Linked DNA regions of Coturnix japonica. The protein of the gene in region 4 interacts with the protein of the main gene of each other region in a pairwise test. Links are inferred from orthologs where the notes say so. Each region holds a gene or a part of one and is shown on either strand. Other genes may lie near its edges.

What was found.
Region 1: the proteins of CUL3 (region 4) and KLHL2 interact in binary tests that used the Homo sapiens proteins (3 or more experiments, as listed by UniProt). The two-hybrid records come from large-scale screens. The link is inferred for Coturnix japonica from reciprocal best matches to the Homo sapiens genes CUL3 and KLHL2.
Region 2: the proteins of CUL3 (region 4) and ZMAT4 interact in binary tests that used the Homo sapiens proteins (3 or more experiments, as listed by UniProt). The two-hybrid records come from large-scale screens. The link is inferred for Coturnix japonica from reciprocal best matches to the Homo sapiens genes CUL3 and ZMAT4.
Region 3: the proteins of CUL3 (region 4) and RHOBTB2 interact in a two-hybrid assay, tested with the Homo sapiens proteins (2 studies listed by BioGRID). The link is inferred for Coturnix japonica from reciprocal best matches to the Homo sapiens genes CUL3 and RHOBTB2.

What each region holds. Positions count from the first base shown.
Region 1 is NC_029519.1:20,901,038-20,905,837, reverse strand, and holds the start of KLHL2 (kelch-like protein 2), read right to left. Parts: upstream 3,242-4,800; 5' UTR 3,098-3,241; coding exon 3,075-3,097; intron 373-3,074; coding exon 247-372; intron 1-246. UniProt on the Homo sapiens protein: Substrate-specific adapter of a BCR (BTB-CUL3-RBX1) E3 ubiquitin ligase complex that mediates the ubiquitination of target proteins, such as NPTXR, WNK1, WNK3 and WNK4, leading most often to their proteasomal degradation.
Region 2 is NC_029537.1:3,915,227-3,919,865, forward strand, and holds the start of ZMAT4 (zinc finger matrin-type protein 4), read right to left. Parts: upstream 3,257-4,639; 5' UTR 2,552-3,256; intron 1-2,551.
Region 3 is NC_029537.1:2,428,639-2,433,233, forward strand, and holds the start of RHOBTB2 (rho-related BTB domain-containing protein 2), read right to left. Parts: upstream 3,274-4,595; 5' UTR 3,159-3,273; intron 785-3,158; exon of another isoform or gene 731-784; intron 595-730; 5' UTR 576-594; coding exon 517-575; intron 1-516. UniProt on the Homo sapiens protein: Regulator of cell proliferation and apoptosis. It likely functions as a substrate-adapter that recruits key substrates, e.g. MSI2, to CUL3-based ubiquitin ligase complexes for degradation. Required for MSI2 ubiquitination and degradation.
Region 4 is NC_029524.1:7,002,501-7,007,409, forward strand, and holds the start of CUL3 (cullin-3), read right to left. Parts: upstream 3,019-4,909; 5' UTR 2,609-3,018; coding exon 2,543-2,608; intron 1-2,542. UniProt on the Homo sapiens protein: Core component of multiple cullin-RING-based BCR (BTB-CUL3-RBX1) E3 ubiquitin-protein ligase complexes which mediate the ubiquitination and subsequent proteasomal degradation of target proteins.

The DNA.
Region 1 (4,800 bases), on a different chromosome or scaffold from region 4:
ATCCTCTATGCATTTTTCAAGCCGCAGAAACCTAGTTGCAATTAACTTACGAAGAGTAGAAACATACTGCATCCATCACAACTATGATCACTTGATTATATATACAATGAAGTGACAGCTGAATAATAGTCTTTCTTCTCAGCTACACTTCAGGAATTCCATGTTCCATTTTTAGAACTTCATAAATGTAATTGAAACTAAACCTGGTTTACAGACTCTAGGCAGGTGTATACAGTGAATTAATACCTTCTTAACTCATTCATAACTTTAAAAGCTTTCTTCATGTGCCATGGATTCACTGTAACAGGACAGTGAATTTCAGTGTTATCATCTTTCAAATCCAAAGGCTTCTGATGGCAAAGTTTGGTGCATCTGGGGAAAAAGAAAAAAAAGAAGATTTAAAAAGAAGTTTAAAAAAAGTTAAAAGGTTAATATTCCTACTCCCTCAGACTATCACTCTGTTCTTGCCATCTTTATCATTGGTGAGTGTGAATGGGACTTGCATTTCAGTTTATTCTTTACTCCAGACAATTTTGGTTTCCCTTTTACCAACAGCACATGATGAAAAGAGAAGCAGGTAAGATTATCTACCTAATAATAAGCTAGTAAGGCTTATTGTAACTAGTAAGGTTTACAGAAGCTTTCAGGGCTAACAATAAGCTCCAATGTGGAAAATACACAAACAAATGCCCTAGAATACTTCTAATACATACTGAAATGAGGATAGAAGCAGCACTCCAGTAACTTCTAGTCTACCACCAGTACTGACAGGCAGAACATATTCCAGCAGTTTGATCTCTCAAAGCCTTGACCACTTGCAAAAACAGAGCTAAGCTCTGTATGGCCACCAGAATCTTGCTTACTGTTTCACACAGCTTCCAGGTCATCTTCTCTGACAGGAAGGCTGCATGATGACTGCTTTAATTCTTCAGGCTTTCCCTAGCAGAATGATTTTGCTTACCCATTTGTTGTACCAAAAAGCAAAAGTGACCAGCTTCTTAGTTCTTCTTACATCCAAAAACAGTACCAAGACTGCAAGAAGAAAAACCTAGCAGCTAAATCACTCGCTTTACCTACAACTAACTCATATTAAGAGATAGTTAAATTCTAGATACTAAGTTCTATAGGAAAACAATTACATCAAACTGTCCAAATAGCAAGCACATTTTTCAATCCCAGGCAATGAGTTTACAATGAGTTTACAATCAAAATGCAAATTACCTTATTAGCCTACTTAGAAAACACGTAGCATCAATAATGAGTCCACTTACACTATCATAGCTTTATTCCAAACTGGACATAAGCAAAACACGTTTGGCCACTGCAGTCAGTAGTGGTGGGGCAACCAACCCTGGCGCATCAGGGGTCTGCTTTCATCATTATCATTTCGGATAAAAACCTGACTTAGCTGAGTTGAGCAAGAACCAAACTTAGCATATGCATTGACACCCAGAATTCCAACCCCCCTTATCATGGAATCATTTGATTTGGAAGATACCTTTAAAGGTCATCTAGTCCAACTCTCCTGCAATGATCAGGTATACCTACAGTTAGATCAGGCTGCTCAGAGCTCCATCCACCACACCTTCAGGCAACCTGTACCAGTACTTCACTACACTTACCATAAAATAAATACATAGATAAATAAATTAAAAACCACCTTACATCCAACTTAAAATCTAGCCTCTCTTAGTTTGAAACCATTTTCCCTAGTCCTACCAAATCAGATTCTGCTGAAGAGTCTGCCCCCTTCCTTCTCATTGCCCTCCCCTTTAGATACCGGCAGGCTGCTCTCAGTTCACCTCATAGCCTTCCCTTCTCCAGCCTGAAAAGCCCCAGCTTTCTCAGCCTGTCCTTGTAAGGGATGTGTTCCATCCCTGGTATCACTTTCACGGTCCTCCTCTGGCCGCACTTCAACAGGTCCACATGTGTCTCTCCTGCACTGTGATTCCACATCTGGACACTCTTCCATCCTACCTAAAAGTTTCTATTCAAGTATGTCTAAGGAACCTTAGAAGTAAACATCACAGATAATAAATTTAAGACTTTAACTTGGACCTCTATACCCTGTGCCTTACAACAACCTCTAAAGCCAACAGGCAGGCTTTACTCCTCATTATTCAAAAACTGGCTACAAAATTTTGGAGTAAAACAGCAGAAAACCACACCAGGCAGCAAAGGAATGTGAATTCTCCACTAAGAATGGACAGCAAAGTAAGATCCCTCCATGGAACTGAAACTAGTCGCCACTTACTGCGCTGTACCATGGCACTGCAATGCTAAGTTTCTTGCTCAGTCGTGAGAATGATACAGCTCGTGGCCAAAAGGAGCCAGGTCACAAACCAAAGAGCACATACATGAGCTTCTGTGCAGAGGGGAAAAAAGATGCTACCTGGTATACTCCTTTAGATTGCTATTCTATTGAATTCTGCAACATATACAGCGATGAGCATTCAAAAAACGACACAGATCACACCAGTTCAAAGCACTGCCGACTAACGGGATGGCAGAGCCCTGCACTAATTAAACCGCCGAATTATCAAGTCTGAGGACGCCGTACCTCCTTCCATCCCCAGGAGTACAGCGGGTGCCGGACGGACCCATCCGGACTCACACGCTGTACGTGTGTGACACACAGGTGTGCACGGAGCGGCGCTGAACACAAGACCTGCCCAGGAGCCCGGAGCCGCTCTCCCCCACGCTCTGTCGGAGGGCGGCTGGGAAGCAGCGCAGCCCCGCCAGGCCGGGAGAGGCCCGAAGCACCGCGCTCCCTTCCTCGTCTCCCGCACAGCTGCGCGGCCGCTGACTCAAACAGGGAGCGAACGGGAGGGCATATGGAAAAATCAGACGGAAAAAAAAAAAAAAAATAGAAAAAGGGGAAAAAAAAACCAACCTAAATCCCCCGTAGCTAACTAGCGCGAGGCCCGCCCGCAGCCCCCAGCCCTCATTGCGTGGCCCAATGGGCCCGCTGAGCTCCGCCGCCGGTCCCCCGTCCCCCGCTGGCGCCCGGGCCCGACCCCGCGCCCTTAACCCGCGGCACGGCGCCTCGCAGCCCGCTCGCCCGCCACACTCACACGGGCGGCAGCAACATCTCCATGGCGGCTCCGTTCGGCTTTCCTCCGGGTAACGCGGGCGCCGCGCGCTGCCGCCAACACCATGCCAGCCGCTGCCGGGTGCCGGCTGCGCCCGCCCGGCAGAGCCCCGCTGCCCTCCGGCCCGCCGGGAGCCGCCGGCACTGCCCACTTCCGGGGCCCCGCCCGCCGGAGGGCCGGGCAGCGGCGCGCAGACGTGGTGGAGGCGGCGGGATCGGCGCGGTGCACCTGGCGGCGGCCGCGGTACCTGTCAGCAGCAGCGGGGTGGGAAGGGAGTGTGTGTCGGGTGGATGTCGGAGCTGATGCTGTCCCTCGGGGGAGGCTGGGGCTGAGCTTGCTTGGGCCTGGCCCTCGGTAAGCTCTGTGCGGAGAGCTGCGGTCCTCCGAGGGCGGTAGCCGGGCCCAGTAAGCGCCTCACCCCGGGAGCGGTGCTGGGTGAAGAAGGGCGGCGTGTCTGTCTGGGGATGCTGCTGCCGGCTTGTTTTCTTTTAAACAAGCTACGTGATCTCTGGAGGCCCCTTCCAACTCCTACAGTTCTGTGGTTTTAGTTCTAGTAGCTACTTAGGTTGATTTCTTATTAAGGCTAATAAAATGTTAAACTAAGTGCGTTTTAATTTATAATTTAATGTTTGCCAATCTCTAGGAATGTTCCTTTCTTGGAAAACGCAATCTTGTTTTCCTTCTCAAGTTCTCTACATTGATGTTTGATTTGGGAACGCTTAAAGAAAAAATTAAATGTATTTCCATAGGGGGATTTTCTAAATGAAATCATCACTACTGTTGGTGCTGTTTTTATGAAGTGTGGGCTTTGCATCTCTTGAATTTGTCTCAATAGATGAGCGGATCTGGCACTGGATTGTGTTGGAGGAGATGAGCTGCTTGTTAAAGAGTTGAAACAAACAAAACCCTCTTACATGGCAGTCAGCTCCAAAGGGACCAGCTGTAGGAGTGCGTGCTCAGCTGAAGCATTAGAAGTATCCCTGTGTTCCTGTTCCATGGTGCTGGTGAGGTCTGAGCCCATCAGTTCTGCCCATGGGAGGTTGGGCAGTGCTGGTCACCGTCACATCACACATTCATGTTTCTGTATCCCATGGTAAACTTGCGCATGCATTACTTCATAAGGCAAGCCCCCTAACTCATAGCTATCCATGAAACCCAAGTGAATCTTACTAGTAGTAGACTGCTCTATGTTGAGGGATCCAAGATGCTGATCATGAAGTCATTGTAAACTTGTCTGGAAGCTGATGAGGGAACGCTTTGCACACTACTTCCATATAGGTCCTGTAGGCACATAGCTGCAGGTTCTGCTGCTTGTTATTATGCCAGAGCTACTAAATAATGTTCATTCCTAAGTGAACATTAAGCCTTTCAGAACTCTGACTTCTGTCATTTTGTTCCAGTGTTATTTTGGCTTTTATGCCAAATGTCTGATGTTAGCACAAGTTACTTTTGATGCAGAACATCAAAAGCAAACACAAACAGAACACGAATCTTACTTATTTATTTATTTATTCTACAGTTATGTCTTTCACTAGTTCAGTGAACCTGAAAGGAATCATATACAGCTGTAACAAAAATGATTGCAGCCAAATTGCCTGTTTTTGGCAAAACAGCTTACAAGTCTAGCCATGAAAAAAGGCATTTGAATAGCATTTGGATTTTTATGGGATTCTGTTTGATCCAATGCCTCTTCTGCTTAGAAAAGAAA
Region 2 (4,639 bases), on a different chromosome or scaffold from region 4:
ATGCAGCATCCCCCCAAGCCTGCATCTCTCCAGGCTCATCCACAGGCTGCCTGAAGGTCAAAGCTGCTAAACCAACACCTGGCTCTGCTAAACCTTCCCCTGTAGATGCAAATACAGTAAATCTCACTGCAGAGGTGGCAGCGTGGCATGGGGGGAAACCTTCCCCTGTTTCCTGAAGCTGCTGCTGTTCCCAGGATGGGTCCTTCCACACCCTGCAGCTCCTGCACCTGCCAGAAAAGGGCATTTTGCACATGTTGTAAAGGAATAACTGCACTTGCATGCGGTGCCATCAGGAAGACAACTGCCTCTGCACTCAGCACTGTGCAATGGAGGGAGACTGGCCCCCTGAAATGTACCCAAATCTGTACCAACCCATTTCTGTACCCAAATCCACCCTTGGGAGCATCTGCGACCAGGTTTTGGCCTAGAAATTGGCCCACTTCTGATGTCTCAATGTGGTTCTGGGTTTCATGTCCCACTGTGCTCCTTGGGAGCATAACCCAGATACGGCACAGCACTCAGACAAGACCTGGAAGTGCTGGCCTCTCTGTGCACCAAAGCAGTTGGAAGGTAAACCCACAATGATAATGGTCTGGGCACCAATGCTTCCAATTGTGCATGAACCAGATGGAAGTGTCACATCAGCGGGGGTCAGCAGTCGCAGTAAACCCACTGCAAATGGGTATCAACAGGCAGGCATCAACAAAACATCTACACAGAGCAAACCTTTCCAAGAATGGTTTGTGGTCAGGCAGCAACACTGAATTGTTAAGAAAACCTGTTGGGTGGATGGATGTGCTCTGCAGCACACCTGAGAAAGCAGAGGTGCAGCACTCCAGCTCTTCTGGGCTCTTCATGGCTCCAGCACAGCAGGAAGAGCAGGGGAGAGCAGGAAAACCAGAGGGAGGATTGGGAGGAAAGTTACAGCAGAGCAGCACGGAGCAAAGAGAAGTGACTTCTGAAAACACCCAGGTTGGGCAGGTACAGATAGAAGCACTAACTGTTATGCAGGAGTAAGGATTAATTACTCGGAGTGACTCAGAAGTGACTAAGACTGATCAGAAGAAATCAAGTCGTGTTTTGGGCAACATCCACCCCAGGGAGAGGGATGCAGAAGGCAGCGGAGCAGGTGCAGGGGCACCGAGATCAAGAGGTTTCTGACTGATGGGTCTTCTCCTCTGGGGGGGCAGAGCTTCCACTCTTATTGCTTCTGATCAAACACTGTGGGGAGACCCATTTTCCAATCTCACCCTACAATGCTCCTGCACTTCTCCTCCTTCCTGTCCCTTCCTATGGGAGATGAGTCACCGTCTAGCAACCTTTATCAAAATACCTCTTACGGAACTGTCTATTGCAGTAGCAGGGATAGCAGAAGGAGACCCCCACTCAGTGCTCCTTTCCCCTGCACTGAACCCCTCCTGCCCTGCACCCCATGGCTCAGAGCCTCCCGTTTGTGTTTTGCAGTCAGACAGCATGTGCTCGTGTGAGAGCCAACAGCACAATATCTGCAGAAAATGCAAACTGTGGGTTTTGAACTGCCCTACTCCAGGCTTTGCAAAACCTTGTTCTGCACCCAGTCACGCACACTAAGGTCACTCCAGTACTACCAGGGGATGGAAAAGGAGCATGTGGCTGCCTGAAGGGCAGCACTAGGGCACATTCCTGGTCAGGTGCTACCAGTCCATGGATAGGGATCACCAACAATTCAGATGTCCCAAGAGTCATTACAAGAGAACTCGTAGGCAGCTCAAATGGCAGCGCTCATGGTGCATGAGGACAGCTGTCCTGAGGCTTAGACCTGCAGACAGCTCCAGTGCAACACGTGGGGTCAGCTGAACCCAGGAGAGCAAAAACCAAGCCCCCCTCACCAGCCATTGCTGCAATTTTGCTGCGGCTTTCCCTGCTGGTTCTTCAGCAGTGCCCGGCTCAGGACAGGCCAGGGGCGGCCGTCCCACTGCTCATTTACCTCCCCAAAACCTGCTTTTGCACTCAAAGCAGTGCTGGCCTGGCAAGTTCTCCAAACTTTAAGAGCAGCAGAGACAAATGCTGCTTTCCTGCATCAAGTCTGCAGTCCGAGGAGCTTGCTTTTGCCTGCGCAAAGCCCACTCAGTAAAAGCAGCCCTTATTTCTGCAGACCAACCAATGCAGGATGGACAAAGTCCCCACCAAGGCACCAACTCAATTCCGGTCACCTGCAAACAGGTGGATGTTTTGCTCCATAGCATCACTGGAGAGCAACCTGGCACCCAACAGGCTCTGGGTCACACACAATGCACGCCGGCCACTTCTGACCCCTGGCACAGCATTGAGGGAAGCACAGCAGTGCTGGTGGGCCTCGCATGCAGGTTATGGCTCAGAAGCAGCATCAAAACTACCCCAGCTACCTCGGTACACCTGGTACCGCATCCCAGCATCACCGTGCATCCCTCCCACCGCGTTCAGACGGGCGCTGTGACTGCACAGCGCTGATTCCCCCGTAAACTTTGCTCCAACTCTAAGCAGCAATCAAGCAACAAGCAGCACAAGAGCCGAGAGAGAGGAGGGGCGGTACCTTCGTGTCGCCGATGTGCAGAGGGGAACGGCTGCTCCTGCGGTGCTGCCGGGATGGGAGCGCGTTGGAGCCGCAGTCCCAGCTCTCCTCTCCCCACGAACAGATCTCTCAGTCGCCCAGACCAACTGTGCTGGAAAGGCACTCGGTTTCATCTGCTGGAGCTCCAGCTCCACCCCTAGCAGCAGCGATTGGCTCCGTGGTGCTCTGCAAGGCTGCGCTGGCCCCGACAGCCTCCCTCCAGCTCGAGCTCCTGAGACCATCGGGAGCTTCCCGGAGCAGTAACCAGAGGAGAGCAGTTATCAAGGGGATGGGTTCATCCCCAGACCAAGAGCTGTCACAGGTTCCTTTAGGCAGGGCTGACACAATGCTGAAACCAAAGAACATATGCTCGAGGCCAGCAACGGTGGCAACAAATGGGGGATGGAGAAACAAAGGGGATGCAGAGCCCTTCAAACCACATGCAATGAGAGGACAGTACCTAATGCAGCATCATGCACACAGGTCTGGAAGTCTGTAATCCATAGCCAGGCTTACACTAAACAGAGCTCTTTGAACCAGGTAACCTGGAAAACAAAGTGGGCATTCATTCCTTTGTGAGGAGCATCTTTCAGGCACACCCAGCTCACAGCTCAGGTTGAACAACCCGAGCACCATGGAGAACACAGGCACAATCTCCTGCATCTTTCTTCTGCCAACACAAGGCCTCCGAGACGCCGTCTCTCCGCCCTCCTTTCTGCTCCCAGCATTAAAAAGATGCTGAGGACTGGCTGAGTTCCACCGAGTGTTTCTGTCCCCGTTCAGCAGACTTGGCAGCACCGCCTGTGCCTGCACGTGAGTCCCAGCTGAAGCAGCTGCAGTAAGGGCCAGGAGCTGCCCTTGGCCCTGCTGGGGCCCGTGGGTGATGCCTGGTGGGTGCTGGATGCTCACAGCCCCTTCCTGCAGCTTTGTCTGACTGAGCCCCACCTGTTTGGTTTGGGAGAGGATCAGAGAGCTGAGGATAGTCCTCAGACAGCTGCTTATCCCTCTGCCTTCTCAGCAGCTCATAAATATTCTCTTTGATGCTGTGATAATTCCTTTTGTGTTCCATAGGCCAATTAATTTGGAGACTTAAGAAACACACGCACAAAATATCAGAAATCTGTTACTATTTTGATTTATGTTTAAAACCAGATCTCCTCAGACACAACAACGACATTATAGTGACACTCAGCAGCACGATTCTCATTTCTGCATGGGATGCCTCAAGGAGCTACAAGCACATTCCCTTGGCACAGTAGGATGGAACTACTCACAAAGGTGGGGCAGAGGTTTTCCAAACCAATGGATTTGGGTTGTGCAAGAATCAGGCTGAGCCACACTGCTGTGCTGGGTGTCTGGAACATTCACTTCAGCGTGAGATGGTCTTTAAATCACCCAGAGGACCGTGATGCTTCCTGATCCTGTCTGGCTCTTTAGCTGCAAATGCTCCTTAGCATCTTTAAGCCTTAAAAAGTCAGCATCCTTGGTTATTAAGCCATGTATCTAAGCATCCAAAACTGACACGAACTCCTCCAAGTTGCCACCTGCTGAGAGGTGCAGGTCAGACACTGGTTGCAGTGACACAGCTGCCATTCAAGGAATGGAGATTCCTTAAATCTCTTCCTTTCTGCCACCCCCCCTGACCCATTCCTCCAACAAAGCTTCCTCCAAGCAGAACTTGCTTTGCAGATGATAGCAGTGAATGTGAGTGGTGCTGCACTGCCCTTCTTGGTGCCAAGCAAAGAGGCAGAGCTCCCCATAGCTCTCCCTGATAGGTTCGGACAGCCCTGGCTCAGACCAAAGCACAACACTGGAAAATTCAGTTTTTCTCCATCCCAGTGCACTGCCAGGGCTGAGGAATGTGTTTACTGGCCCTGAACTGGGCTAATTACAGAGCAATCCGAAATGCCTCAAAATACAGAGCAGGAAAACAACAGCTGTGATTGATTAATCACAGTAGTGAAGCTGAAGGGTTTGATCATTCCCAAAACCTCTTTAATATTTCATTCTCCAAAGAGGGAGAGGCTATTGCAGGCGCAGAACAAAGCAGAGCTCAGGCCGGGCTCTCTT
Region 3 (4,595 bases), on a different chromosome or scaffold from region 4:
AGCCCTATGGATGGAGCCCTATAGATGGAGCCCCACAGATGGAGCCCCATGGATGGATTCCTATAGATGGAGCCCTGTGGATGGAGCCACATGGATGGAGCCCTATGGATTGAGCCCTATGGATGGAGCCCTATAGATGGAGCCCCACGGATGGAACCCCACAGACAGAGATGTAGGGCTGGAGATCCTCACCCCCATAACCCCGTAGGTACTGTAGGTCCGGAGATCAGCAACCCTACAACCTTATGGGCTCTGTAGGGCTGGGGATCATCACCCCTATGACCCCATGGGGCTGGAAATCAGCACCCCTATGACCCTATGTGCTCTGTAGGGCTGGAGATCTGCACCCTTATTTGCACCGCATTGCAAAAGGTCCCAACCATTTCCCTTTGCTGCAGGCAGCACCCAGCCGAGCTGTGCCCTCCTGCAGCAGGGTGGCACGAGTTGCACGGGAGCAAAGAACAAAGCATGGCTGTGCAGGCAATGGGGGGGTTGGAAGGGGGGCACAGTACTTACAGGCTGCGTGCCAAGGCTGTCATTGTCACCGTGGGGCTGCCCTTCCCTTTGGGGTCCATGTCGTGCTCTCAGCAGTGCCTGCAATGGGAGGAGAGGAGGGGTAAGTGAATCCATTCACCACCAGCACGCTGGAATCCATTCACCCTCAGCACAAAGCCTGAAGCCATGGCATGGTGATACAAGGGTGCTGTGGGGATGGAGGGGGGTCTCTCACCTAAAGCATCTCCCCTGCTGCCCCTACATCCCAACACCCGAGCTGTGAGTGAGGATTGCAAGAGGGCAGAGCTGGGGGTGAGGCTGAGCTTTGCTCTTGGCACAGGGAGCAGGAAACGCTGCTGCGTTGCCAGATTGGAATCACTGTTTGGAATCAGCCCCAATCATGCAGCTTGTGGCTACAGGGCTCTGCTTGCCCAAAGGGAATGCCCCAAGGATTTCCAACCCCTTGTTTCTAGGGTTTAAAATGAGCAAAAAGAGCCTTTCTGCAAATTGCATCCTCTGTCCTTCTAAGCTGAGGGTTCCCAGGAATCAATTCTCCATATCCAGACTGTAAATGGCCCATCTGGATCCCATCTCCCAGCCCCACCAATAACCTGTGGCTTGGAGCTCATCCCATCGCTGTGCTGCAGGATATCAGCCCTTTACTACGTGGTTTATAAGCATTTAAACCCAAAGGGATCGCTGCCCTCCAGGGAAAGCCTTATGCAACCCATAAACCTCCCCCTTCGCCCCAGCCTGCAGCTGGCGGTGCTCTCCGGGTGCATCTTTTGCAACCAGGAAGCAAAGCAAAGCAACATGCAAGGTCCTGCTGAAGGATATTTGCACCCTACAGCGGTGGGGCGTTGTCTGACTGGTCAAAGTGCTGCTGTGTGGATAATGCATCCCATAGCTTTGAGGTGTTGTTGATGTGCCCGTCCTGCTGCCTCCCCCTGCCCCACATTTGGGGCCATTTATAGGCACAGGTTTATTATAGAGCCCTCCCCATCCCCTCCAGCATTAAGAGCCGCTGACGCCTCGTGCAGAAGCTGTTAAGAGCTTCTATTTGGGTCCTGTGGCTTCTCTGCTTCCCATTCCTCCTCACACAGTGCAAAATAAACCCATAACATCACCAAACAAACCCCCCCAACCCAGGGAACAGCCTCAGGGAGTCTGTTCTTGAGGTGTATTTGGGGATGTTGATGCAGCTTGCAATGGGGTGAAACCCCACAAGAAGGGCTCCCACATCCCAAATCTGCTGCACCAACACGCGTTGGTTACATCCTAAATGCACCCCCAAGAGCGTGGCTAAGGGCACGGGGGGGGCTGCACGTTTCTGCATTAAAAACAGATAGGAGAAAATCAGAAAGGAAGGAGCCTGTTCCTAAGCAACAGCCTCTGGTAGAGATGGAGACCATGAGGTGGAGACTGTGAGATGGAGACCGTAGAGTGGAGACCGTGAGATGGAGGGCATAGAATGGAGACCATGAGATGGAGGCCATAAAATAGAGATCATGAGATGGAGGTCATAGTATGGAGACTATGAAATGGACACCGAAAGGTGAAGGCCATAAAATAGAGATCATGAGATGGAGACCATAGAATGGAGACCATAAAATGGAGACTCTGAGATGGACACCAAAAAGTGAAGGGCATAAAATAGAGACCATGAGATGGAGGTCATAAAATTGAGACCATGAGATGGAGGTCATAAAATTGAGACCATGAGATGGAGGTCATAAAATGGAGACTATGAGTTGGAGGTAATAGAATGGAGACCATGAGATGGACACAGAAAGGTGAAGGCCATAAAATAGAGACCATGAGATGGAGGTCACAGAATGGAGACCATGAGATGGAGGTCGTAGTATGGAGACTATGAGATGGACACAGAAAGGTGAAGGCCATAAAATGGAGATAATGAGATGGAGACCATAGAATGGAGGCCATAAAGTGGAGACCCTGAGACGGATACCACAAGGTGGAGGCCGTAACATGGAGACCATGAGATGGAGATCATAAAATGGAAACTAGAAGATGGACACTGTGAGATAAAGGCTATAAAATGGAAACCAGGAGATGGAGACCATAAAATGGAGACCAAGAGATGGATACCACAAGATGGAGACCATGAAATGGAGGTCATAACATGGAGACCACAAGATGGAGACCATAAAATAGAGACCACGAGATGGAGACCATAAAATGGAGACCACAAGATGGAGACCATAAAATAGAGACCACGAGATGGAGACCATAAAATGGAGACCACAAGATGGAGACCATAAATTGGAGACCATCTTATGGAGACCACGAGACAGATACCATAAAATGAAGACCACGAGTTGGAGACCATAAAATGGAGACCATAGGATGAGGTGCTACAAAGCATTGGAGCAAACTCCTGGGATCACAGAACCCCACAGCAGCGATGCAGGACAGTGGGGAGACTCCAAACCCACCCAGCACAGCCCACCCACCCATCTCCAACCCTACTGCTCCGTCCCTAAAGAAAGGTGAAAACCCATTGAGTTGGCCAAGACTCTATTGGAGCTAAATTGGATGGACGGGCAGACAGACAGCTGGACAGACAGAGAGACGGATGGGAGGGCAGACAGATGGATAAATGAGCAGATAGATGGATGGACAGACAGACAGACAGCGGTTACCTGTGTGTGTCCGGGCGCTGGCGGTTGTGCCCTGGCTCTTCCAGCAGCGAGTTTCCCCGTCCCAATAGGGATCATTTTTATACGCTCACCCATGTGATCCCAACTAATGCCCCAGGGATGAGGTTTTTTTTTCATGCACTGACACAACCGGAGGGGCCGGAGCTCAAACAAAACCTGTTGGACCACAATCCGCGCTCAGCACCCGGGCAGGAATTTTCCACTCTCTGGGTGCGCCGCTGCACGATGCACGTTGAGACGTGCTTTATACGGCTCCTAAAGGGAAAAAGCAAAGGGGAAAATGCAAACTTTCCCATTTCCAGATGCTTTGAATGGTCGTTTGACCTCATCTTTAAGTTTCCACGTTGGAGTTGGAGAGCAGAGATGGAGAAATGCATGGGGGAATGCATTGGAGACGTTGCGTAGATGCAAGTTGTGCACCATGCATGTTATTTCTGCCAAGTGCATGCTCCTTCTGCAAAGTACATGCAATATCTGCAAAGATAACACAGCAGATGGTGCTCAGAGTGAGAGATGAAGGCAACCCTTTGCTCCCCCAAACTCTCCCTGCAACCTTTCGCACCCATGGGGGTGATGGAGGGGATGCACTCGGTGTTGTTGATGGTGCTGGGCAGAAGGAAGGCATGGATGTGATAAATGCCTAAGGGTGACAGGATGGGAATGGAAAGGATGAGCTTGGGAGAAGTGCTGGTGAGTCAATGGGAACCACAGGAGCAGGGAAATGAGCACAGCCTGCAGGGCTGAGTCAGTGGGACCAGCTGGTGAGTCAATGGGAAAGCAGGGAGCTAATGGAGCGATGGGCTGTAGGTGTTTGTGGGGTGCACAGGAGGAGGGTATAGGGGTGATCCAGCATGGAGGTTACACTCCTGGAGTGCTGCTGGGTCACTGAACCCTGCCATAGGGCTGGATAATGTGTGATCTATAGGGTTTGCTCGTGGCCCAGCTGTTCTGGGGTTGGTTCTGTGGGGTTCCAGCCTCTGTAAGCTGCCCCATGCGGTGCTGTGTTGGCACAGCTCTGGGGTCAGCGCTGCCAAGGGGCCGGGCAGTGGGGCTGGGGCTGTGCCAGGCTCTGGGAATAGAAACACAGCAGGACACGGAGCGGTAGGTGGGAGGACAGGGGGGGTTTTGGGCACCAAGCAGCTTTCCTTTGTGTGTTGGGGGGCAGACATGGGGGCTCTGTGTCCCCTGATAGCTCTAAGTTGGGGTCACTGTGGGGTAATGGCACTGGGTGCCCGCTGCTGTGCTGGAAGGAGTTGGGGTGGGTTCATGGCAGCACCCATTGGGTCCAGTAATGTGGATTTGAGTGGGGATAGCAGCGGGTTTGGGAGCTGCCTGCTGAGATAGGAGCAAACAGTTGGGATGGGGGGAGATGGGAAGAGCTGGGGAGATCCCAGTAGGATTGTGGGTCCCCAACACTGG
Region 4 (4,909 bases):
ACTGCTAATTAAAAACACGTGCTGTATTATTCCGTAAAATATTATTTGATCCCTCCTTCAGTTATTGCAAGATATAACAATGACAGAGAAGTCTAAAAATAAAATATAAAAACATGAAAAGGGACAGAACCGACGTGGATTCAGTTGCCATAATATTGCTACGTTCCAGGAACCTTACCCAACCAATCTGGCTCCTTCAGCTCTCACACAACAGTCAGCAGAGACCTCTGCACGAAAAGCCAACTAAAGCAGAACAAGGAGACCTACCCGCACCAAAGAAAAACAGAAGAAGCCTACAAAGTCACCTCTGAAGGCACTTCTAATTCAGAAGTGAAGAGCAGAAGCACCAAATGTGAGATAAAAGAGTGAAGATCCATAACTGAAGTAGGAATAGTACACATTCTAAATATAGACTCTATCCCGCACACAGATGTAACCTCACTGACATGAGTAATCCCACTGCAGTCGCTGGCACCATTCACAGGACTAAAGCTACACAAACACTTGGGGCTCTGCAAAATCTGTGTTAAGATTGTAACCTGGACCCTAACAATAGTTATTACCTTCTGCAACTGTGCAAGGCAAAGCCCTCCACATCTCTTAACCAACTACACGTTTCTTCTCTATAAACACCTGATCAACGGGATTGCCAACAAAATGTCTCAGAGAAGAAAATCCACTGAATGAAACACCTGGAAAATTGCTGTCAATAGAAATCACCAAACGTTTAAGATGCTTATATGCCTATATGCACTCACTGGCATTTTAGGAAGGCAATAATTCAGGGAGCTTTGATGGGTTTTGTTTAGATTTTTAATGTAAACTTTTAATTTAAACTGAAAAGAAAAACAACGTGAACAAGAATGGTTTTAGAAGAAAAAAAGTGATGGCAATGCTTACACTTCTGTAAGAGCAGAGCTCTGTGTGAGCATCCTTCAGCCACCAACCTGATTTCACTTGCTTATGTGTAACAGCACCGAAAAAGAATCACTTGGAAAGTTGATCTCATTTGTTGAGTTTGCTGTTGCTGGCTAATACAGATCCACATATTCAGTTGTGATAAATGAATCTGTTCACAGAATCACATAATGACCCGGGTTGGAAGGGACCTCAAGGATCATGTAGTTCCAACCCCCTGCCTGGCAGGGCCACCAAACATACACCTTTACTAGATCAGGTTGCCCAGGGCCCCGTCCAGCCTGGCCTTGAATCTGTTCATCAAGTCAAAAGATGGCTATTTTTTACACATTTATGTCATGGTTAATTTTGGTAAAGCTTTTCCTACTTTTTGTTAGTAAAGCCCTGACAATGTTGCAATAAGACTTTATTCCTACAAGTCAAAATATCCTCACAAAACTGACAATCTTATAAAAGACTGTTGAAAGAAATATACACAATATGGAGACCAAAAGTCTCTGCCCAGCTAAAGGCCTTAAGTTTCACAGCACCCTTCTTTGTTTTGACTTTTACCACTAAATGCAACTGTTGGCCATTAGAAGTAGAGGGAAGAAGAAAGCAGTCGGTCACATTACTGTGAGTAAAGAAGCTGCTGAAAAGACAGAGAATCCCCCAACTTTATCAGCGAGGTTTTTCATGAAGCAAATGTACTGATATACTCCTTGTCAGTAAATAAGATAAAACAGGTACGCCCGGCTTCTCTCTAAAGGCAGGGCTCATTAGTTCTATCCTACTACCTACCAGGATCAGGCGTAACATCAAAAAGTTACGCTAAGCCCCACATGCCAGTGACTCAACTAAGTATCTTCTTTTTAACACACATCGGTGAATGCACACACACACACACACACACACTTCCTGGCAAACCTCAGGCAGACCGAAGCTTTCTTCTGTCCCTCATTCCTCACCGCCATTAACAGTCCCACAGTTGTTATTCTGTTCTAAGCTTTAATTGAACCAACTGTCAAAACACTGCAAGCTTTATGGCAGAATAAATTAATAACTGGGCTCGTTCCCATCCGCAATCCAAGGGATGGCATTTCCACGGCCCTACACAACACACATGGAAGTTACCTGTGCCCCATGTTTACAGCAACAACTGGCACTGTGCCACCTAAGTCTCATAACCGTACGACTTAGAGTCTCTTTCACAGCATAGAGAGTCAAATAAATTCTCGACGAGGAAACTCTCCGGAAGACGCAAATGAATACCGCCCCCCTTCCGGAGGTAACCGGCGTTGTGGACGAAGCCGCGTAACCTTCCACTCCTTCCCCGAGGCCTTTTCCTTGAAAACAAAGAACCGCCGGCCGCCCCCCTCCCCGCTGCCGCTCGTGGGCTGCCCGCCCCGCGGTGCCTCAGGTCCGGCGGCGGAGCCCCGTTCCCCACCATTTAGTGGCGGCGGACTCGCAGCGCCGCTCCCGGTTCCCGTCGCCTCCCGACCCGCTGACAGCCGCCCGCCCCCCGCAGGCCCGCGGCCGGCCCGGCCGGGCCCCCCCCATACGGCTGACAGGGCGTGAGGCCGCGAGGCCTGCGGAGGCCGGGGCCTGGCGCGGGCGGCCTAGGCCCGTCGGGGCCGGTACTCACGGGGAAGGCTCGGATCCGCATCTTGGTGTCCTTCCGGCTGCCCGTCCCCTTGCTCAGGTTCGACATCTTCGGGGCCGGCGGCGGCGGCGCCCCCCTGGGGAGGGGCGCGGAGGACGCGCGGGGGGCGGCGGGGCCGGGGCCGGGCGGGGGAGGCCGCCGGAGATGTTCGCTGCGGGCTGCGGGCCCCGAGGCTGCGCGGAGGGACCGGGCCGGGCCGCGGGGGGTTGGAGGGAGCGGAGGGAGCGGCGGAAAGCGAGGCGGAGGCGCGGGGCCCTCGCTCCGGCGGCGACGCTTCCTTCACCCGCCTCCTCCGCCGCGATGGCGGACAAACATCGCTCAGTGCGCAGGGCCGAGCGCCCCCCTCCTTCCTCTTCTTCCCTTCCCCTTCCTCTCGCTTCCTCCCCTCCCCGTCCCGTCCCACCGCCCAGGGCGCAGCGACGAGGGGACGGATCCGGCCGCGGCGGCGGGCGGGGGCGGCGGGAGGGCCGCGGGGCGGGGCGGAGCTCGCCACTCTCGCGAGACCGTCCGGCGAGCTGTCACAGGCGGCGGACGCGGAGTGGAGTGATGCAGGACGGTTGTATTTATGTTTTGTGTTGTTTTTTTGCCGTCACGATGCGTGACTGAGAAATGAGGGTGGCACCCGAGGCGGTGCTGACACGAGTACGGAGCTAAATATAGGCCGCTTGGAAAGGGCAGGTGGAGCAGGAGGGAAGGGTGCTCGGGAAACAACAGGGCCTGTAGGCCGGCAGCAATACAGCAATACAGCAATACAGCAATACAGCAATACAGCAATACAGCAATACAGCAATACAGCAATACAGCTCCACGAACGTTAGGCTGGTTAGCAGGAAAATAATGCCCCTGAACCAGAGCCTGACTGCAGGTAGGGGATGGAGCTTGAAAGCTAGATCTAGAGATCGCTGGCATGACTGGTGTCCTGCATGTGGATGCAACACCACGTAGTCAGGAAGAGAATCTCTTCTAGGTGACTTGTAGGACTAGATAGCAAGGCATCCTGGTGCACGTTATTCCTGCAGCTCTGCTTAGCTCTCCCATCACACCCTCTGCCACCACAGAGCTCTGAGGTAGTTTTGCCTTCTGTAAGAGCTACTGCGTTCATTTTGTCTCTGTGTTTGTTACAACCACTTCCCACCGGGACTATAAACACATTACTATATGTTAATCTGATCAGAGTTAAGTATACGCCTAGAGAAAATATTATATAACAGCAACACAATAAACAATGATTGCAGCGGCACTATGCAATACCAATGAGTCCTTCTCAAAATTACAGCATAGTCGATGCAGATCAAACGAGATGAGAAGGGAAAGATTGCCGTTTGCTAATACAAAGAACACAGCTTCCACATTGTTTCCACATCATTTCAATGTTTGTTTTGCTCCTAAGCATTTCCTCTTTGAAATTAGGACATGTTCGTATGCAGTTTTCAATCTGAAAACATTACAAGAATACTCCGCAACAACTTCAGTGCTGTTTTCCTAAGAACTGTTTATGAGGAACTGACCACAAAAAAGAAAAAGAAAACTGCTGAAAACCATCCCTATGTGCTTTTTCCATTGCAGCAGATTGGACCAGATTAACTTCTATTACTGGTTTTGTGCTTCCTCTCATACTGGTTTTATGGATCCAAGTTGCTTGTTCATGAGTATTTTAATGTAAAAGCTTAAAAAGTGCTGACTTGCCCTTAGTTGCTGGTGGTCTAGGTTCAATATGCTGAATAAAAATACTCATACTTCAATTCTCTTGTCATGTAGTTTTATTTTACACTTACAGCAGCCTATCACAAGTATTGCTAGTGCTAACTTTATTATTAAAAGCTGAAATTACAGTCTGAGACTTGTTTTCATGCGGATTTATGATCTGTTGGGGTTATCTGCTGTATGGAAATTCACCCAGAGCTCCTTGCTTCATGTCTGATCTCTGTTCTCTGCACAGGGTGGAAACAACTTCTTTAGTGCAAAGTTTCTATTTCCATACGTAACATACAAAATGAAGTTTTGCTAAAAGTTAAGGCTTTGAGCTTACACAAATAAGTAATTTAAGGGTTCATTAAGTACTTATAATGTTAATTCTAGGTAGGTCAAAGCCAGAAACAAGACAGATGGGTGGAGGACAGATTAGCATAGGAAGAAGTAGCCACCCTATTGCTTAAACAGATCATCTCAGCTATCTCGCCTGCAGATCTTCTGTATCTTCTGTTAGTCCTGCAGCAAAGTAACGGTTTGTGTGAAGAGGAATGGGCTCGCTTCTTGAAAGTCCAGGGCTTTTGTGTTACAACAGCCTCACACACATTTTCTGCCAATGTCGACCACTTGCAGCTATGAGGTGTAAGGGCCCTCAGAATG